Regions from separate parts of the Mus musculus genome. Here regions 1 and 2 are each reported to be linked to region 3. The links are microRNA targets in miRTarBase. Many come from high-throughput screens and were not tested one by one. Region 3 holds a microRNA gene; each other region holds the end of a gene's coding sequence.
What was found. Region 3 holds the annotated microRNA mmu-miR-709 (GGAGGCAGAGGCAGGAGGA, at 3,274-3,292, opposite strand). A microRNA usually pairs through its seed, bases 2 to 8, with sites in the 3' UTR of a target mRNA and lowers its output. Matches are read on the target gene's strand: a 7mer-m8 pairs with bases 2 to 8, a 7mer-A1 pairs with bases 2 to 7 and ends in A, and an 8mer does both.

Region 1 (7,282 bases), not on the chromosome of region 3:
CAGGCTTCCCAAGCTCCCAGGCTTTTAACTGCCCCTGAGCCTCACTTTCCAGTCCCTGCTGTGCCAGTGTCCTCCCCCCCCCCCCCATTTTATACCCCCAAATCCCCCAGAGCAACAGCTCTCTCCCCCATTCCCACTGAGCTCCAGGCTCACTAGAATGCCAGTAAATTGCACAATAATGAGTCGGGAAAAATTGGGAGGGCTCCCCTGGGCTTTGTGCAGCCCCAGGCTGGCGCTGCCCTGCAATCCATCATCTCCCAGGGAGGCAGATCCTGGGCCTTCCAGCTCCATCCCAGGTGCTCCCCTCTCCATCCTGGGTGCTCTCCAAAAGCTCCCAGGGGAGGAGCAGGGCTAAATTAAAAACAGTGTCTGGCGGTGGCGGCGGCGGCGGCGGCGGCGGCTGCTGCTGCTGCTGCTGCTGCTGCTGCTGCTGCTGCTGTTTGAGTCTCTGGGCCTCAGTTTTCCAATGTGAAAAATAACACTAAATCCTTTGTAGGCCTTGCTGGGGTGAGGGGCAGGGCTTTGTGCATCAAGGGCTGCATCTAAGCCCTTGATGATGGTGATTACTGGTTTTCTTTTCTTTTCTTTTCTTTTTTTTTTTTTTGAAGTTTTTTGAGATAGGATCTCAAAGTCGGTCTATAGCCAAAGATGACCCTGAACTCCTGATCCTCCTGCCTCAGCTTTTGAAGGGAAGGGTGAACAAGTGTGCACCACCATGCCTGGATGTGTAGGGTGTGGTTTATCCTGGCGGGAAGAGCTTACCTAGTGCCAAGCTTTGGCACAGGCTCCCCTTCCCCACATCTGTGCCCTCAGCAAGGCTCCATCCTAACTTGTTCTAGGCAGAAAACTTCTTCCAGGCGATAGAGCGCTTCAGTAGAACCCCAGACCTCCTGGAGAGGAACAAGATGAGTATTGGTGTTGGGGCTGAAGGGGACAGTTGGCCATGTCATGTGTCTCATGAGGCCCCAATGGGCTCTGCCCAGACCACAGAGAACTCAGCTAAGGAAGAAGACAAACAGGTCCCAGAGTCTGCAGCCCTCCAGCACCCCAAGTTCAAAAGCACCCCGGGGCCTCAGCTGCCCACCAGACGTCGGTTCCTCTCAGAGAGTGATGAGCTCCAGGACCCACAGCCGGTCTGGGACGCGGAGCCCCAGTTCTGTCAAGGCTTCCTGATCCAGGGACTCTGGGAACTTTTCATGGACAGCCGCCAAAAGAACCAACAGGAACACGGGGGTGAGGATTCCTCACAGGTGAGGGGGAACTCCCAGGCACAAGCCTTTCTCTCCCTCTTCTTCCCTCTCTCCTCCCCCCACCTTGCCTGTTGTCATGGCAACAGAGAAGCTGCTGGAATTGGTGAGTACCCTTGACTGGAACCCCAAAGGATTTTACCCCATAGTGTCCCCTCAGTACCCTCCTTCCTCATCCCTGCACTCTGACCCCTCAGGAACATCCCCACTGCAGCCAGGAACCCCCAGGCATCTGCTGGGTGTCCCCCCCTGGGGTGACGTGTCCCCCATCTGACCCAATTCTGTCTCCCAGGAAAGCAAAGATTCAGGCCTGTGTGACTTTAAACCAGAACCTCAGCCCAGGCACAGAAACAGCCTGAGTGACTCTGGTGAGAGGGGTGGGGCCTCGGAGGGCAGGGCCATAGTTCCTGGGTCACCCCTGAATCCTGTCTCCTCCACACAGCCGACCCCTTCCTGATCAAGTCTCCCTCAGCTCTTCTAGATTATTACCAAGAAGACGTCAGTCGGCCCCAACCTGAGACGCAGGTGAGTGGGAGACCTGGATGCAGATATGGAGGGGAGGTCACAAGCCAGCAGCGTCAGCTTCTTTCTTTGTACCACAGGAATCTTCTGGAAGAGCTGATAAATTTCTGAAGCCCTTGTGAGTGTTGGCCTCTGCAGGGAGAAAGCGGGGTTACCTCACCCTTGTCTCCCCCACCCCGCCTCCCTGTCTCTGTCCCTTTTCCATGTCCTTAACTGGTGGTGGAAGATGGAGGGGCTTGTGAGAGGGCTCAGCAGGTAAAGGTGCCTGCTCCCAAGCCTAGGCCTGGGTTTGATCCCTGGGACCTACACAGTTGAAAGTGAAAAATGACTCCCGCAGGTTGTACTGCCTCCTCTCTACCCTCCACCCCCCCACACCCCATTAATGAGTAAATATAAGAACAACTTGTAAAGGGTTAAAGAAGGAACGTCTCACTTAAATCTCAACCTAGATTCTCAGTCTTGTAGTTGGAGAACGATGTCTTGGAGAAGGGGCTGTAATAATTAGGTCTATAAGGGTGCACAGGAGCTCAGTCGACTTGAGCAAAGCGTTTTAGAGTAGGGACGCATGTGTGGCTGTGGCAAGAACTGAAGAATGTGACTGGAGCCTGGCTCCTAGCGCTCATGAGGTAGAGGCAGGAGCATTAGGAATTCAAGGTCAGCCTTTGCTCCATACAGAGTTCAAGGCCAACCTGGACTAAGACCCTGTCTTGAAAACTTCACTCTGTGTCCCATATCCCTAGGTCCTGGGGCTCTGAAGTCTTAGAGAGCAGCTGTAATCAGCCTAGCACAGCACTCTGGCAATTAGAGAGGTTCACTGTCCCCCAAGCACTGCAGAAGGTGCGTGTGCTGAAGCACCAGGAACTGCTATTGGTGGTAGCTGTGAGCTCCTTCACGCGGCACGTCTTCACCTGCAGCCAGAGCGGCATCAAGGTGTGGAACCTCGTGAACCAGGTGGCCGAGGACAGAGACCCAGAAAGCCACTTGAAATGCAGCGTCCAGGTGACGGGGCAGGGACGGGGTTGGGGATGGGAGGTGCTGGAAGAGCCACGACTGACCCTCACTCGCCGGGACGATCCTCTGCAGGACAACAAGGTGTACCTGCGCACCTGCCTGCTGTCCTCCAACAGCAGGACCCTGTTCGCGGGTGGATACAACTTACCTGGCGTGATCGTGTGGGACCTGGCAGCCCCATCCCTGTATGAGAAGTGCCAGCTGCCCTGCGAGGGCCTGTCCTGCCAGGCACTGGCCAACACAAAGGAAAACATGGCCCTTGCCGGCTTCACAGATGGCACGGTCAGGATATGGGACCTACGGACTCAGGAAATAGTCAGGTGCAGACACAGGGACAGGAGCACTGTGAGCTGCGGACTACGAGTTCTGAGCTCTTACCCAAACCCCACTCCCCCAGAGTGGAGCCACACCCTAGTCCCCTCACTAGGGGATTCTGGGTGGGACTCTACCCTATCCCTGACCACGCCCACAGCCTGCTTGTTTACCTTTAGGTTAGGGTAAGTGTCTCATGTAGCCCAGGTTGTCCTCAAGCACAGAGGAGGAGAACCTTAAACTCTCCTTATCTTCCTGCCTTCACCTTCCAAGTGCTGTGTGTGCCTGGCTTATTCGTAAATCTTGTTTTTCGTGGGCTTTGTTTTGTTTTGTTTTTCGAGACAGGGTTTCTCTCTGTGCAGCCCTGGCTGTCCTGAAACTCACTCTGTAGACCAGGCTGGCCTGGATCCACCTGCCTCTGCCTCCCAAGTGCTGGGATTAAAGGCGTGTGCCACCACTGCCCAGCTCATTGTAATTCTTGTAGGACAAGGGAGAACAGAGGCTCAGGACAACCTGCAGGAGCCTGTTCTTCCACTAAGTGGGTTCTTGGAACTCGGCTCTCCTCTACCCACTGAGTGACCTGGGAGCCATCTGGTCAACACTTTTACTTTTATTCATTTTATCTGGCATAGGGTCTCACTCTGTAGACCAGGCTAGCCTTGGAACTCAGTGATCCACCTGCCTCTGCCTCCAGAGTGCTGGGATGACAGGCTTGTGCTGCCAAGCCCTGCTCAGATTTTATCTTAAGGTCGGATCAGGTGACGTTTTCAGGGATGATGCTGAACTTGCTCTGAAGCCTAGGATGGCTCTAACTCGCAATCATCCTCTCTTAATCCCGAGTAGCTGGGATGACAATTGTGAGTCACCACAGCCAGCTTTGGGTCTTCTCCATCACCCTCATTGTTGAGGCAGGGTCTCTATGTACCCTAGCCTGGCCTGGAACTCATGGCAATCCTCCTGCCTCAACTTCCTCAGTACTGGATTTATAGGTATTGGAACATTACCTTTTAGAGGCAGGGACTAGGATGATGTCACTGTTGCCTTCTTGCCAAAGGTGTTAAGAGTACCTCAGGTTGGGTTAGTCCCACGGCTTTGAGGGAATCTTAGGGACTGTCGAGCCTAGGCTTACCCCTTTGCTTTCTGGCCAGGAACCTCAAAGGCCCTACCAATTCGGCCAGGAACCTTGTGGTCAAAGATGACAACATCTGGACAGGGGGTCTGGACGCCTGCCTGCGATGCTGGGACCTGCGGATGGCCAAGGTGTCACTGGAGCATCTGTTCCAGTCCCAGGTGCACAGGAAGGGTGGCTGCACAGGCGTGGGCCTTTGGGTACAATGACAAGGTGCACTCAGTGTCAGGAGAGGGAACAGCCCAGGTCAGCTCAAGGAATTTTTGAGAAGTCACAGGGGTCTTTAAAATACCTTTTGTCATACTGGACAATGGTGGAGAAGGCTGTCGTCCCAGTACTCAAGCTGAGGCAAGAGGATGAAAAAGTGAGTCCATCTTGGGCTACATAGTGGAGAAGGAGCTGGATCTAGGGGGTAGAATGTTTTCCTGTCACTCAGCACTAGGGAGCTGGGGGAAGGAGGGTCAGAAGTTTAAGGTGGTCATCAGCTACACAGGAACCTGAAGGATAGCCTGGGCTACATAAAAGCCGGTCTCAAAGACTATCGTTGCAAATATTTTATGCTGGAGTTCAAGGCCAGCCTGGGCTATGTGGCAAGTCACTACAGCCTAGGCTATGGAGCAAGACCATGTCCCAATAAAACCAACCAGGGAGACAGACTTGTCACTGCCATAGTTAACCCTGTGAAGTTCATACACCTCACAGAAGGAAGGTGTGGAGACACAGTCGGGCCACAGCCAGTCAGTGAGTCATTGGGTGGGCGGGCGTTCGGGCGGGGACCTTGCAGCCTGGCCGCCCAGCAGGGGTCTGATTGCTACCTCTGCCTGGCTCACCCAGATCATGAGCCTGGCTCACAGTCCGACCGAAGACTGGCTGCTGCTGGGCCTGGCCAATGGCCAGCACTGCCTGTTCAACAGCAGGAAGAGGGACCAGGTGCTCACTGTGGACACCAAGGACAACACCATCTTAGGCCTCAAGTTCTCCCCAAATGGTAAGGAGTCCACTGAGCCTGGGCATGGTGGCACACGCCTTTAATTCCAGCACTGGGGAGGCAGAGGCAGGTGGATCTGAGTTCAGGACCAGCCCTGGTGTACAGAGTTCCAGGACAGCCAGGACTCCACAAAGAAACCCTGTCTGGGAAACCAGTCCACTGAGGATGGGTGCACACTGTGGCCACTGGCCTCTCAGAGGACCCTGCTATTTACTCAGTGCCCAGTCAGGGCTTGGGTATTGTCCACACTCCAACATCTTTTATTAACATAATCATAATCAGGAGTTCAGAGTCATCTCTGGCTACTTGGGGAGCTTAAGGCTATCCTGAGCTATAAAAGGCTTCAGACGGCAAAACATAACAAAAGACAAAACAGTAAAACTTTTTGCTGTTCTGCCTTGTTCTTTGAGGCAAGGTCTCATGTAGCCTAGACTCATTCTCATCTCAAACTCTCTCAGTCCTCCTGCCTCAGCCTCCTGGGTGCTGCTGGATGTTAGTGAATGGGTGGGGTCTGCTGTAACCTCCCTGTCTTCCTTCCCCTCCTCCTAGGCAAGTGGTGGGCGAGCGTCGGTATGGGCAACTTCATCACGGTCCACAGCATGCCCACCGGAGCAAAACTGTTCCAGGTACTTATGTGCAGGGGGCACTGGGGGCTCTGTCAGCGGGACCCTCAGCATCATCCCCACAGGGGTCATTTCTGAAGCTCTGGGTGGAGAGGAACTGAGCTCACTCAGCTGCTGTCTCAGGTCCCCGAGGTTGGCCCTGTCAGATGCTTCGACATGACTGAGAACGGCAGGCTCATCATCACAGGATCCAGGGACTGTGCCTCGGTGTACCACATCAAGTACTGACAACTTCAACTCCCCTCCCCTAACTGCACAGTGGTGGATGGCAATGGGTGTGATGGGTCTGCAGTGCTTCTAGAGGCTTCCATGGGGTGTGCAGATCCCGAGTTGCGTGTAATAAAACAATTGAAATGGCAGAGATTTGTCCTTTACCCAGGTTTTGGAAGAACTTTGTAGCTCTGAGCCCTCCAACTTCTGAGTGTTTGCCTTTAATCCCAGCACTCAGGAGACAGAGGCAGGCGGATTTCTGAGTTCCAGACCAGCCTGGTTTACATAGTTTCAGGACAGCCAGTGCTACACTAAGAAACTAGCCCCACCCAGTTTTTGTTTTAAAGAGAGCCAGGAAGATGGTTCAGTTGGTAAAGCCCACACCAGGCAGGATAAGGAGTGAGTGTAAATCCCTGATCCAGCTCTGTAGGTAGAGACAGGAGGATTCCTGGGGCATGTTGACCTGTCTGTGAGGCTCATTAGTGAGATCCACACTCTGAAAATTGGGGCAAAGAGAAATGAAGGCTGATACCCAGTCGGGTCCCTCACCTGTACGCTTCACACACACACAGAAAGAAAGCAAGTTGATAAATGTGTTATATTTCCCCAGTGCCCCAGCCCCACCCAGCCAGGAGGGAGCAAGCCAGGTATGAGCAGAGGGGCCCGTGTCCCGAGTGGCCAGCCATCCAGGGCAGGTGACCTGAAAAGGCAGCAGATGGCTCAGTACACCACCTCATACACAGTGGCCTTCTTGTCCCCTGAGCCTGTCACGATGTACTTATTATTCCTGGAGATGTCGCAGCTCAGTACAGAAGATGATTCTTTGGACTGGGACAGAGAAAGGGGAGGTGAGGGGTGGCCACATGGTCACCACCACCAAGTTTACAGACCAGAAGCATGGGGCTTGGAGGACAACAAAGGCTGGTAGATGTGACTGTTGCCAGGGCCTTGTAGCTGGGGACTGAGCTAGCCTGACTGGTGACTTAAGAGATGGTACCTAACTCATCACAGCTCGACTTCAGATGGCTTCACAGCAAAGTACCTCCCTCCTCTTCCCTCATTCTCTCTCAAACCAACCATACTTCTGCCCCATCCTTCCAAGTGCTAAGATTACAGATCTGTGTCACCGTGTCCTGGAGGGACAGGGGTATCCCTGACATGTGAAGGGTTGATAATGGTACTGCTCTGGATTGGAGACTCCTGGGGTCTTTGATGGTTAGGAAGGACAGGAAATGTGAAA
Region 2 (7,282 bases), not on the chromosome of region 3:
CTGTAGCACAGGGACTCTTGATCATCCACAGAAGGTTCTTTTTGCCCAGCATAGCTGCCTGAGCTTCCTGAAGTAAAGACTCATAGCACCCCATAGGTACCATGGCTCATGCATGTAATCTCAGCACCCCGGAGGATGAGGCAGGAGGACTGCCCTGAGTTTGTAGTCACTCTGCACTACATGGTAACAAGACTTTGTCTCAAAACAAAACAAGGGCTGGCAATATGGCTCTGTGGGTAGAGGTGCTTGGCGACAAGCCTTATGAGCCAAGTTCAGTCCCCAGGACCTAAGAACTGATTCTCAGAGATGGTCTTCTGACCTCCATGCACGTCAGGACACACACTTACCCTCGTGTGTGTAGTATGTACACACCAAAATCAGTATAAGAGAAGCTGGCTTACTTTGAAGAATGAAATGAATACAGTTATTAAGTCTAAAAGTGTGGTCGTGCACCTTTAGTTCCAGTCCTTAGGAGATAGAGATAGGAGAATCTAGGGTTCAAGGTCTGCCTGCGCTCTGTAAGACCTTGTCTCAACCCCTCCTGCCCCAAAGAAGGGAAACACCACTCCGTAGACCAATAACAGGATAGTCTATAGCCGGCCTTTGTCCTTCATGGGTGGCATCTGGCCTTGCAGTGAGTTTCTCTCTTGAAGCCTGCCGACCATGTTCCTAAAGGCTTTGCTGGTTCCTGAGGTGTTCTGAGGCCCATCTGTCCAGGCTGCTGCTGCTTGTCCTAAAGGTTCAGTACTTAGTTTTGCAGAGCCCGCTCCCTTGACAAGTGTGAATGCCATTCTTTTTTCCTTTTCCTTAGGGTCCACCAACAGCAGACCCAGCATCCCAGTGGAGGAGAGCCCTGGGCGGAACCCAGGAGTGTAACTGCTTGCCGGACAGCCCCGAGCTGGAAATGGACAAGCGTTTGGGGAGCTGGGAGAGCCGAGCAGGAGCTTCATGCCAGCCTGTCCCCACCTATCCTGGCCACGTTTTAGATGGCCCTTGTAAGCTGTGGGTCCTGAGCCGCCTCGGTGCCAGAGCCTCCAGCCGTCCTGCTGTCCTTGAGGAGATGGGGTTGACAAAGCGGCCCTCCAGAAGCCTGTTTCCGAGGGGACAAAAGAAACAGCGTCATCTCTAGTCCCCAGCTCCCAGCTTCCCCGGTGCTGTAACAGCACAGTGTGTTTATGTGTCTCCCTGAGCCCAGGGCCATGCGGGTACAGCCACTGCCTTTACATGGCCCTGGCCTGTGCTCATTCTGCTTTTGGTTGGCCAACCCTCTGTCAGTGGCGCCACTTTCTGAGCAAGCCAAGAGTGCTGAGTTTTGATGGAAGTGTTCAAATCCATGGCCCTGCCGTGTACTTCTTGGCTTCCCCTACAATGCCATATTTTGATTCATGTACCCCAGTTTCTCATGTGCCAAATCTAAGAGCACAGCTCCCCAATAATCTGTGCCCCGGTTCCGCTCCCTCCTGTGGAGGAAGCCCCTCTGGCTCCTCAAGTCATGAGCAGGCTGGCCCAGGGTCGCCTTGCATTTCTTTCCCACTTGGGCACGGCGCCACCACAGTATTGTCGATTTCTGTTTGAGGTCATTTGTGGAAGGCCAAAGGTCAGTGTTGACTGACCTGGGGCCGTGGCGCCTGCTGTACCTGTCTTGTGCTCTTGCCCTGAGCACCCAGGAAGGTGTGCAGCAGTGCACCGTGGAGCAGCAGTCAGTGAGGCGGTTGTAAGCCTGCAACGTCCTTGTCACTTGCTGAGAAGTCAGGGTTTTCTCGTATCTCTGAAATACTCAAACTCTGTGTGCTTTTGTCTTTCCAGTGATGTTTTAGAGACACGGGTGGAAAGATTCTTTCTCTTCTAGTTTACCTATACTTTTCCACAGTTTCAGCTCTGGGACAATAGATTGGGGTGGGAAGGGCGGATTTCTGGAACCATTCTTAAAAGAATATGGGCCCTTGTGAGACTTGGAAGCTAAGAGAACAGTGGTACGCTTGCTGAAAAAAATATTATAACAGAATGTACTCTGAGAACAAACCCAGGTTGGAAACAAATACTTTGAATTACCTGTCTCCAAAACAGAATTCTAAATTTCGGCTGAACCTCAGAATCGAGTTAGAACCTTGGATGCGTATGCTCACCTTGAACCCCCAGGGCTGTGGTCCTGAAGTGGTTTTAACCTCCTCCTAGAAGAGTCCCCTATGCCCTTTACCATCACCTCCTAAAGTTAACGTGTTAGATAACCTTGTTGCATTTACCAGAACTCAAATGTTAACATTGGAGTACTCAACTGAGGCCTTGATTTAGATCTCACTTTTTTTTTTTTTTGATTTCTGGCAATTGGAATCCAGATGCCAGGATGCACTTGGAGCTGTCGCTTCTTTAGACCTAACTACAGTAATTGCAGGTTCATAGGAAGTGGCAAAGACGCAGAGCCCTTGTACCCTTTATCTGGCTTTCCCCAGTGCTCCCATGTCACTAACCATAGTGTGCAGGGCTGTGGGGCTCTGCACTCTGCCACCTCTGTAGACCCAAGTAACTGCTGGAGAATACTAACCCGCTGGACTGTCCCTCGGAGCCACCTGCCCCCGCCCTAAGCCCTGGGACCATAGACTGTTCCATAGACTGTTCCTCAGCTCTGTCATTTTGTCATGTCAAGAATGTCGTTTGAGGGGCTGTGTTGCGTGCAGCTGGACTTTGGGATTGACTTCATCCAGCACAGTGCTCTGGAGGCTGTTCCAGGTCAGTGTGTCAGTGGCTCGCTCCTCCTTGCCAAATGATGTCCCGTGGTGTATTCAGTGTCCTGTCAGAGGACATCTGGGTTGTTTGCAGTTTTTGGCCTTTTCAAAATAAAGCTGCTATGAACATTCACGTACAGATACGGTGTGAAGACTGGTGTCCGCCTGGGATGTGCCAGCAACACAGGTGCCATGACGTTTACCTTAAAAAAGAACCTGCCTGGCCTTGGAGCGGAGCTGTGCACAAGTTTAAATTCCTACAGGAAATGTAGGAATGATCTGGTTTCTCCCCACCCCGACCCATGGGCCAATGACCATCAGTCCTTTGCTGTCTGTGGTTCTTGTCTGCTTTTCCTTGGTCTCGTCCATGAGCCTGTTCGTGTTTTCAGCTTGGCAACTGGTCTGTATTCCTTTCCATGTGTCTGTGCATCTCCACCCCACCCCCATCTTTTTTTTTTTCTCTTGGGAACTCTCTTGGGAACTCTTCAGATATTTAGATTCCAAAATCCTTCGTTGGATTTTTGGTTTGCAAAGATTATCTGTGTAGTGCTGTATTCTAGATCTGAATTGTGACCCCAGAGCTTGTATACTAAAGATTGAATCCCTGGGCTGCTCTGTTAGTGGGTTCTCCTGAGTTCATCAGGGCTCTGACCTCTGCCATGTTCTCCCTCTGTAAAGTGTGTGGTCTAAAGGACCAAGCAGCCACAGGCTCCCATGGGCCTCCATCTCAGTAACATTAACTGTGTTCTCACCGCAAGGTCTTGTACAGGTGGAGGGTTTGGTTGGGGGGGGGTTGTTTTTTGTTGTTTGTTTGTTTGTTTGTTTTTGGTGTTTTAAGCCAAGAGTTTGTCTGTATAGCCCAGGCTGGCCTCAAACTCAGAGATTCACTGCCTCTGACTCTCAAGTGCTGGGTCTAAAGGCATGCTCTGCCACGCCTGGCTCATCTTAAAGGTTTTTGTGATTAAAGTCTCTCTCTCTCTCTTTTTTTTGTTTTGTTTTTCGAGACATGGTTTCTCTGTGTAGCCCTGGCCGTCCTGAAACTCACTCTGTAGACCAGGCTGGCATTGAACTCAGAAATCCACCTGCCTCTGCCTCCCAAGTGCTGGAATTAAAGGCGTGTGCCACCACTGCCCGGCCTGATTAAATTCATTTTTATCAAATTTTCCATTGTACTTTTACCATATCTGTCTCAATTGCCTTTCTTCCTAATAGTTTGTTTTACATGTAAGCTTGTGGTCCATTTTGAAATATTGTTTCTTTAAATAAGGCTTGGGTCCTAGCTGGTTTTTGTATGTGTGTGTTTTTCATGTCTGTGCTTAGTGCCTGCAGAGGCCAGCAGACGTTGGCTCCTTCTGGACCTGGATCCTTTGGAAGAGCTGGGGGACAGCTGGTGACTTGCAAAACTTAAACTCTTGGCCCTTTGCCAAGTTTTCTGAGCCCTGGCCTCCTATTCAAATGGTAAATCTTCCCCATAGTATGTTTGGGTGGATTTGTGTGGCACCCTGAGTTGTCAGCTAATTCATGTTAGTTTCTGTCTACTGCACTCCAGATCACTAAAGCTGAACCCACTTTAGGTCCCCCCCTCTTTTCTCTTAAACTAGGGTACCAGGCTGGGTGTGGTGCATGGCTTTAATCCTAACACTCAGAGGCAAGTGGATCTTTTGTGTTCAAGGCCCACCAGCCTGTTTTACAGAGTGAGTTCCGGGACAAAATCCTGTCTCAAAACAAAACATGGCCAGGTGTGGTGGCACACATCTTTAATCCCAGCACTCGGGAAGCAGAGGCAAGTGGATTTCTGAGTTCGAGGCCAGCCTGGTCTACAAAGTGAGCTCCAGGAGAGCCAGGGCTATACAGAGAAACCCTGTCTCAGAAGAAAAAAAAAAAAAAAAAAAAAAAAGGGAGGGGACAGCCTGTGGGCCAAGCTGACCTCAGAGTGCCCTGCCTCAGCCTCCCAGATGCTGAGATTACAAGCATGAGACCCATACCTGCCTTTTAGTTCCTTTTTTCTTTTTAAGTCTCACGCAGTTCAACCTAGACAGGAACTCAAAGTAATCCGAGTCCTCTCAAGTGCTGGGAGATATATATATATGTATGTATGTATGTATGTATATATATATATATACACACATATACACACATACATATATATGAAGGAACCACATATGGTTCAGATTGTTTGGGGTATACACTTGCTTACAAAGTTTAGAAAAATCCTGTTTACATCTGGCTTGGGTTTTGGTAGGACTGTGTTAAGCCTGTATGTTAACATCTTGGGGAGAGCTGATATCTTGTGCCTTCTTTATTTATTTATTTATTATATGTAAGTACACTGTAGCTGTCTTCAGATGTCCAAAAGATGGCGTCAGATCTCATTACAGATGGTTGTGAGCCACCGTGTGGTTGTTGAAATTTGAACCCAGGACCTTCGGGAGAGCAGTCAGTGTTCTTAACTGCAGAGCCATCTCTCCAGCCCTATCTAGTTTTAAACAGTTGTAATAGAACTATGGTTTTTGTATCTGTGTGTTCACTACTATTAGGGAAGAGATAGATTTTTGTTTGTATTGTATCCTGGACTATTACGGTACTTCCAACCCACCACCCACCTAGGATCCCTTATAATTTGCTCAGATTCGTAGATTACCGTGTCTTCAACCAATACTTGGATCTCATTTTCAGGGCTGCTGACCTAATACCATTAGGACTGTTAGAAAGGTCTCACTGTAGCCCTGGCTGGTCTCGAGCTTACCTGTCGGTCAGGCAGGCCCTGAACTCAGGACTCAGAAGCAGACCCATCAGTACTGGAATTAAAGTTGTGCATCACCACACGCAGCAGACATCATGACTTTAAAAATGTGTAGTGATTCTAAGCACAACTGAAGTTGAGAAGTGTGGCTTTCTTAATTTGTCCATCAAGGGGCAAAGATAGAGATCCCAAACCAGGCAGGCCCCCTTTGTGCATGCAAATGCATGTGCGCACGTGCGAGCACACATGGCACTTGGTACCATGTCATGCTGTCAGTTGGGAAGGTGATGGTCTTAGTCTTTGCAGTTGGTTTCTACTGTGTAGCCCAATATCTGGCCTCCTCCCAGTCCCCATGAGGCAACCAGGCTGAGGTGAATAGAGTCAGTTTAATGAGAAAACATTGATCTGTATAAAAAGGTGCTTTGTGTGTCAGCTAAGTGTCCTCATTTCTGAGGAATTGTCATATTGAGTAGGCTTGAATGTCTGTGTTGCCCACGGCACCAGTGTCAAGGTGCACGCTGGCTGGCATGACAGGGCAGGGCCTGCCCCATGGAAAGATACATGCCCCTTTGGAGGGAACACTTAGTCAGGTTATACTTAGTCAGGTTCTTCAAGTCGTCGTCATAACAATGGCCATAGGCTGCCAAAATTAATCAAAAAATAACTGCTGCAAAATGGGCATCAGCTGGGGCTGTTCAAGAGGCCTTCACCTTTTGCCCTTCACTCAGCCTTCAGTGGGGGCCCTGCCCGCAGTACAGGTTTACACCAGTGAAACTGGAAACAGCTGGGAGAGAAAGCAGCCACCCGGGAGCCTGTGTGAAGTCCTCTTTACACTACCAGCTGGCATGGGACCAGAGAGGGATGTATACTGTTGGCATTGTCCCAAAGCAAGGTGCAGGACTCCTCAGTGTGTAGGGCCTACAGAGCCTAGTCCCGGAGCTTTCTCCTGCACCAGGGGGCATTAGAGCCTCAGGGTAAGCCAGGGTTGCGGGCCACCGCCCCACGAGGTGAGTGGGCCACAAGCAATCCCCAGCACCCGGTACCCTGACCTCACATACGGTAAGCAAGGCTGCCTGGAGCCTTTAGGTAGAGCTTCCCCAGAGTAACGCTAGCTAGTTCCAGCTCATCACGCTCCAGCTTCTGGAGCAACCTGGTAGATCCTGGCTTCTGTGGGGCCTCAGTCCTGCTGACATGCCCCTCAGCCTGCCGAATCCCACCTTCAGAGCTCTGAAGACGAGATGGCTAGAACTGCCAGACACTACCAGGGCTGCTACTGGTAGAAATGAAGTCCCAGGAGAAACGCTGCCCAGAGGACGGAAGTGACCTGCACGGTGCCTGGCACTCAGCCTGCTTCTCTCATGCCCTGGATGCAGCTGCTGGCCACATCTGAATGTCTACTTAGATGAGAATAGGCCAAGACCAGTCCGTGGTCTAAGGACTGGTAGACGGAGGCCTAGACCCAGCTGAGGGTAGCACTGGTCAGCTCACTTGTGCTCTGGCCTTGGCCCTCATCTGGACCCCTTTGTTTCTTGCTGCCCTGTGGTCCTCGGCTCCAGCCCTGGCAGGGAACAGGGTTCCTCACTGAAACCCAGGAGGCTGCTCTACCTGTTGCTTCAGGCCGGAGGAAGCAAAGCCAGAGAGAAATTAGGACTGGGATAAAGAACTATTTAGGACTGGTGGATGGGTGTGGAATGGTGGCCGTGGGTGATCCACAGGTGCCAGTCATCAGCACCGGGTACGGGGATGGCCCACGTGGGCCTGGAGTGCGTCCCGGATGCCCCGCTGCCAGTCTCGAGCCAGCTGCACTGGTGTCTGG
Region 3 (7,000 bases):
AAGGTTAGCAGCTGATGTTTTCCTCGGTTGCTCAGTTCCTGGTGTTGCTTAACTCAGTTGCTTGTTTTTGTTGTTCATTTTCATTTTATGTGTGTGTGTTCTGCCTACATGTATGTATGTACCCCATACATGCCCTATCCCCAAAGGGGCCAGAAGGAGGTGTCAGATCTCCTAGGACTGGAGTTATAGACAATGTGAGGTCCATGTGGGCACTGGAACTTGAACCTGGGTCCTCTGGAAGAACAGCCGCTCCCACTCACGGGCCATCTCTCTTGCCCCACCTTAGATTTTTTTAAGACAACATCTCAAACTGAAGCTGGAGTTTATGTCTGGCTGGCTGTAGGTGAGCCCCAGGTGCCTCTCCATCCCTGCTCCTCCTAGTGTTGGGCTGATAGGCTGTGACTTGCTGGGGACTCCAAACTCAGAACCTCTTGTTCTCACAGCAGGCATGCTTCTCCTGGGCCATTCTTAGCCCCTTTCTGTTCATTGTTCTACGACATTTATTTACTTACTTATGTACAGAGGGTCTGTGTGAAAGTCAGAGGAGCTGGGTCTTGGCCAGCACGAGGCTTTCAGGGATTGAACTCAGGTAATCAAGCTTAGTAGCCAGGGCCTCTACCTACTGAGTCATGAAAGAAGGCTACGCTGGGTACCCCTCACCAGCTCGGAACTCTGGAGCCTCACACCCACTCATGCTTCTGCCTCCCCAGTGCCGGGGTCACACAAGCACGTGCCACCCAACCAGGGTTTGGTACCATATTTATAGCTTCCTGTGAGCCTATAAGTCTTTCAAATAAAACTGAAAAAGGAAAAGCCCACAACACAGATCCTCAGGGACCTTAGCCACCTGGGTGCAACAGTAACCGAGGTGAGAGGCGTCTAGTCCAGGCACAAACAACGTGCACCTTCTCAGCAGACCTGCTCGCTGCACCAGAGGACCCACAGGGTTGAGAAATCAGAAGGTTTGCAGCAGTGGTTTATTAAATAGACTAAACTAGTGAAGACCAGCAGCCAGGGTGTGCTGCCATGTGGAGGGTGCAGTGTTCTGACCTGATCCATGGTCCTGACTGATAATGGGCCCAACTTGGGCTGACTTCAGCTCTGCCACTGTGATTGTAGGAGCTCCCATCTCTCATTTCCTATCAAGCCACCACCAGTTCTGACTAAGGGCATTTCTGCAACTGTCCTCAGAGCTTCACATAGCAGCTGAGGTACAGAGTGGCTGAGCAACACCTAAGGCAACACCACAGATGAGACCAGGCCCTAGGTCATATGAGCACTATCACTGAGCTATGCCTTGGGCCAAACTTCTGCTCTCTGAGTACTGCCAGGTTTTTTTCTCGAGTGTTCCCCCCACCCTCACCTCTGAATAAGGCGAACACTTACTGTGGCTGGTGAGGCACGGGTGGTGTGGGAGTAAGACTGGCTGGCATTGCCTAGCATGTAGCCGCCTTGGATCACGTAGGTGCCTGCTCCGCTGCCGCTGCTGCCGCCACTGCCACCACCACTGCTGCCGCCTCCCCCATTGCCCCCTGCACCCACACTGCTGTTGCTGGCCCCAGCCTCGCTGCTGGATGAGCTGGCGACAATTGGGCTGCCGGACACATACATGGGCACTGAGCCGCTGCTGGCCACCGTCTGGGAAGTAGCCGGCGTGCTGACCTGGGCAGCCGTGCCCGAAGCCTCATAGTAGCTGGTGCCTGCCGTCTGCGTGTAGATAGGCGTCTCCGGGTACTGGTAGGTGCTAGAGCGGCTGCCAAGAAGCAGACAGGAAGCAATGGTCACCACCTTGTACAAGGAGGCAGGGGTTCCAGGAGAGGACCAGAGAAGCCACAGAAACACCAGTGTGGCACCTTCACATATAAGGGACTGGGGACAGCCTGAGCACTGGATGGGCAACCACTTTCTTGTTTTCTAAAACATGTCTTTATATTAACTTATTACTTGGAGAGGGGCACATGTGTTCCGTGGCATACACACAAAGGTCAGAGACAACTTGTGGGAGGCGGGGCTCTCCTTCCACTGTGGGTCCTGGAGACTGAACTCAGACTGTAAAGCCCGGCAGCAAGCACTGCTGAGCCATTGAACCAGCCCTCGCTGGGCACTGAGCCACAGCACTCCAGCACAGGAATCACTCTCCTCACTGGTACTGAGCCACAGCACTCACTGGTACTGAACCACTGCACTCCAGCACAGGAATCAATTTCCTTACTGCAGAAGAGGAGAAAACAAGACAGGGTCCAGAATGCAGAACGTACTTCCTCGGCAACAACGACAAACAGTTCTCAGTCCAGGGAAGGGAGATACAGGAGGGAAGGCAAAGTACAAAGGACTGCAGGGTAGGCAGAGGGGCCGCCTTGGCTACCTCTTCCTGGCAGGGAGCTGCCCCTCCAACTCAGAATATGTCCTGAGTGCCGCATAGGGTAATAAGCCGCAGATCTAAGAGGGGCAACTGTAGCAAGCAAGCCACCCTAACATTTGGGCCCATCTCTGCAGGCTGCAGACTAGAGGGGGTGAGGCAGGAAGAGGAGACGCAACATGATTGCCTTGAGTCCTCCACTGGGTACCGATGGACAGCCAGAAACGAGAGGTTGGGATGAGGAAAAGACCACCCTGTGTGTAGGCAGAAGGCTCTCTGTGGGGAGGGGACAGGCAGGGCCACCTCTCACTTTTGCTCTTTGAGCCCTCCCAATGTGACAGTGATTAAAGCAGGAAAACTTGAGCCTTGCAGGTGGCTCAGTGGGTGGGGATGTTTGCCATCAAGACCGAAGACCTGGGGTTGATCCCCAAAGCCACACAGCAAACAGACTCCAGTGTTAGCATTGGCACTACGCTCAATACATGGTGCATACAACCCCCCCCCATCATCCCATGCACACACTCGAACACATGTGTATACACACACACACACACACACACACACACACACACACACACACACACACACACACACACACACACGAGGGCCAGCAAGGTGGCTCTGGGGTCAGAGACTCACCACATGAACCTCTTACCTAGTACTTGAGTTCTGACCTCAGGTCATGACCTTGCTTCTCAGGTCTGATAAGCAAGAAGCAAGCCATTTACTGATTTATCTCCCTAACCCCCAAGAAAAATTGTAAGACAGAATATGCAAGCCCGAGGAACTGGATTTGCCCCTGCAACCTGTGTAAAGGAGAGAGAAAACGGACTCCTCTAGGTTGTTCTCTGATCTCCACCTGCACCACAGCACATGCACTCTCCCCACACATAAGTCAATATAACAAAAGACAATCCTCCTGCCTCTGCCTCCCCAGTGCTGCTCAAACAGGACAGTTCTATGCTCAGAGCACTTCTGAGTAGAAGCAGAGAAACGGGACACACTAATTACTCTGTGGGACACTGAGGGTCAGATTGAGAACCTGTGGTTCCAGCACGAGAGAGGAAGTGTCAGGCAAATCTCTGAGTTCAAGGCTACCCTGGTCTACAGATCAAGTTCCAGGGCAGTGAGGGCTATACAGAGAGACATTGTCTCAAAAAAAGTTTATGTTGTAAAAATGTATGTATAAATACATATATGTATGCTTTTTCTTTCCCCTTTTCCTGCCTAAAATCCAGATCCATCTAACTGCACAGCTCCTAATTTGTGGAGGTGCCTTCCCAATGGGCCAGTGTCTCTTCTGCTACCAGCTGCCTATATTCCTGGCACCCCACAGGTGTGGGGCTATCACCTGAGCCTTGGGGGCCAGCTGGGAGTTAGAATTGTGGCCCTAACCACATCTGAGCCCTCCTTCCACCCTCTGCCCACTTACATGGCGCTGGCTGTGTAGCTGGCATCGCCACCTTCCACGTACTGCACCTGGCTGGAATACACGTGTGGGACAGGCACCTGAGGGAGTTGCTGTACCTGAAGCAGGAGGAAAAGCAGGGTCATGGGTCAGGGCTGACCACCACCCACGGGTTCACTGATGCCCACATACATCCCCATCTAGAAGGTTGCACATCATGGTTTTCTGAACAACATGGGCCAGAGGTGGGAGGCTTAGGTAGGAGGCTTAGGTGGGGCCAGGTCTCAGTTGTGGCTGGAAAACAGGAGGTGCTGGGATTCTCTGCTTTGGCAAAGAGGTTTCTAAGGCTTATGAGCAAAGGAGGGGATACCAGACAGAATTCTGCAATGGGCTTGAGAGGTGGGTTTGCAATCTAAAAACCGGGCCTGGGGGTTTTCTGGAAACCAAAAAGGTTTCCCAAGCAGATTAGGGGTGGAGCCTGAAGAGGGATCAGTTGATAGAACAACTAGAAACAACTGACAACACCTTAGGGGCAGGTACTGGATAGCCTACCTCCACCCCCAACCCTGGTTTGCAGGAGCCGTGTCTGGGACCCAGTCCCTGAGGCAGAACAAGAATGACTGGCAGCACTTTGGGGGACAGGGTAAAGACATCTCACCCCACCCGCCTTGGGTTGCAGGGGCGAAGCCTGGGAGCCTGGACTTGAAGGCGAGGCAAAGCGGCTTGCTGGGCTGAATGCCCTTCCCCTGCCCGCCCTCCGCCCCCTGCCGTGCCTCCGCTGTCCGCCGCCACCTACTTTGAGGGCGGTGCCGAACACTAGCACCTGGGGCATTCTGTGGATCCTGACCCTCAGGTCGGGGCTGGCTCGGGCCGAGAGCCCCCGCTGTGGCTCGAAGACCACCCTCTGCTGCGGCAGGAGCAGGTGTGGGGGCAGCATGCCCACCAGCTCCACCCACTGCTCCACACCCGGCTCGTAATGGAGCGGCTGCTGCTCGCTGCCTAGCTGCAAGACCTCGCCGCAGCACACTGGCCCAGGCCCGGGAGGCCGGGGCGGCGGCTCCGGCGGCGGCGTGGGCCGGGTTTCTTGCTGCTCTGCCTTCCTAGCGGGAAACTGACTGCCTGAGCTCTGGAGGACAAACAGAGACACTGGGGTATCACCCGGCTGTGAACTCATGGCCACCCGAATGAAGATTCCCCACTTGGGATCTCCTTAGAGAAGAGAGGAACGAACTGGGCACTATCAGAAAGAAGCGGAATTCGAATCCAGCCCTCTTTCAACAAGACCTGTGTCCTGAGTGGTCAGGTGCTGGGATGGGGACGGATTCAGGATGAAGTCTGAAGCCGAGGGCTAGAGTGAAACCTCACTTCTGCAGGGCTTCAAACCTCAATTGCCCCCACTGTCTGCCCTTTAGGGTCCCCAGCTGGCTCCATTCCTCCCTCTGGATTAGGTGCCTGTACCTCCAGCCACAGCCCAGGACTAGTCTGATTGCCCCGACATAGACAGATAGGACACGCACCTCTTGAGCAACGTGAACTGGCTGCAGTCCCTGCACAGTCAGCTGCTGCACCGGGCCAGCTTTGGTCTGTGGAGTGGCCTGGACTACTGACCTCTGGCAAAGAAGGGCAAGGAGAGGCAAGTTCGAGTATGGTAACCATGGCAACTAGGGCAGCCTGTCCCATGCATGCTCAGAACAGCCGTCTTGGGAAAGGCTGTCATTCTTCAGACAGAGAGCAGCCTTTCCGTGTGGGGTCCAGTTAATACAGGCCTTCCAGGTCTCTTACTGCCTGCCTCTGCCATCTGGAGGTTCAGAGTGGTTCTTGCACGGGAAGGGAATACCTGTGGATCCTTTGAATTAGAAGGTTCCCATTTCCTCTAGGGAAGAGCCTACAGCTCGGGCCTATTTGAGGTTTTCAGCCTGGTACTGGGGAACCTGGGGTCTTATGCATGCTAGGCCAGCTCTCTACCACTAATCTACACCCCAGCACTGTTTTTCAATTTTTATTCTGAATCAGGGTTTCACTACATTGTCCAGACTGGCCTTGAAGTGGGGATCTGGCCTGAGTCTCTTGTAGTTGAGGCTATGAGGACACACAAACCATGTCTTGTTTTCTTGAAAAGCCAAGAATCCCAAGAGTTAAGCAGTTAACAAGGAGATACAAGACCATCCTTGCATCTTGGCCTGCTCAGGCCACTGTGATGGTATTAGGAAACTCAGTCTCCTTTGGAAGGTTGAGCACATCGTGAGAATGGCAGGCTTAAGAGATGGATCTGTGGTTAAGGAAACTGGTTGTCCTTCCAGAGGACCCAGGTTCAATTCCTAGCACCGACACAGCTTTAACTCCACGTCTAGGCACAAACATGGTGCATAGACCCACATGCAAGCAGAACACCCATGCTCACTAAAAAAAAATTAAAACAAATGTAAAATCTGAAGAAAAATTAAAACAGATGTAAAATCTGAAGGCCTTGGTGCTTCTTCTCCCCAGAAAGCTGGCTTTTTGGTTTTGCAGAAAAGAGATGACACCCAGGGCCTGTGTATGATGGGCAAATGCTCACCCTGCAGGCTTTGCTTTTCTTTTCTGTCTGTCTGTCTCTGTGTGTGTGTGTGTGTGTGTGTGTGTTTGTGTGTGTAGAAGTCAGAACTCAGTTATCAGGATTGGTGGCAAGTGTGCTTTACCCACTGAGCAATCTCTCTGGCCTACCAGTGTGTGTTTTCAAAGCCATAATGTGCCCTGTGAGGCACCTCTACAACTGTCACAACTAGGGACGCTGAATCTAGATAGAGGCAGAGAGAGGCTCTCGTCAAATGCTCACATGGTAGGCTGGAGCTGGGTCCATCTGCTTAGCTCCCACAGGCCAGGGACCCAGACATAGGTGGCTACTTGGCCTATACCCATGGCCCTAGCTACTGCCCGCCCTGGTCAGGCACCTCTTGGGTGACAGGGACACTCTGCTGGACGCTGTGGACCTGTAGTTGCTGCACAGTGGCCGCAGGAGTCCCAGCTGTCTTGCTGGTGGAGTTGTTGGCCTGCACTGGTGACCTCTGTAAGAGAACAAACAGAGACAATGTCAGGGCCAGCTGTGCTTGTGTCTGGGGCACCCAGGCTCTAACAACCTGCCTCAGAAGGACTCTGGAGAGGGTGGGATAGCCCACAGCAGCCACAAATACTGCTCTGCAGGACTCTACCTAGATGGGGCTCCAGGTGTCTCAGCCTCCATGAGGGCCAGAGGC

Region 1: the mRNA of Tle2 is a reported target of mmu-miR-709. Seed matches in the 3' UTR shown: 7mer-m8 at 6,287-6,293.
Region 2: the mRNA of Cnnm3 is a reported target of mmu-miR-709. Seed matches in the 3' UTR shown: 7mer-m8 at 3,611-3,617, 7mer-m8 at 3,806-3,812 and 7mer-m8 at 3,812-3,818.

Annotation. Positions count from the first base shown.
Region 1 is chr10:81,589,813-81,597,094 of GRCm38, reverse strand. It overlaps Tle2 (transducin-like enhancer of split 2), which reads right to left. Exons shown (of 21, transcript NM_019725.2): 20 at 6,743-6,870; 21 at 6,250-6,538. The coding sequence ends at 6,763. Tle6 (transducin-like enhancer of split 6) reads left to right here. Exons shown (of 14, transcript NM_053254.2): 5 at 840-1,250; 6 at 1,540-1,615; 7 at 1,690-1,772; 8 at 1,850-1,887; 9 at 2,510-2,768; 10 at 2,853-3,100; 11 at 4,241-4,382; 12 at 5,056-5,209; 13 at 5,759-5,835; 14 at 5,956-6,190. The coding sequence ends at 6,060. It overlaps Gm32024 (a long non-coding RNA gene), which reads right to left and starts at 2,530. Exons shown (of 3, transcript XR_003949022.1): 1 at 1,737-2,530; 2 at 763-1,190.
Region 2 is chr1:36,524,355-36,531,636 of GRCm38, forward strand. It overlaps Cnnm3 (cyclin M3), which reads left to right. Exons shown (of 8, transcript NM_053186.3): 8 at 812-3,883. The coding sequence ends at 876. Ankrd23 (ankyrin repeat domain 23) reads right to left here. Exons shown (of 9, transcript NM_153502.4): 9 at 5,839-7,282. The coding sequence ends at 7,192. Among named protein-coding and RNA genes, the nearest start is that of Ankrd23, 7.7 kb to the right of the region's middle.
Region 3 is chr8:84,082,459-84,089,458 of GRCm38, reverse strand. Mir709 (microRNA 709) reads right to left here and starts at 3,360; the gene lies at 3,273-3,360. Rfx1 (regulatory factor X, 1 (influences HLA class II expression)) reads right to left here. Exons shown (of 21, transcript NM_009055.4): 6 at 6,698-6,811; 7 at 5,285-5,377; 8 at 3,792-3,886; 9 at 1,387-1,753.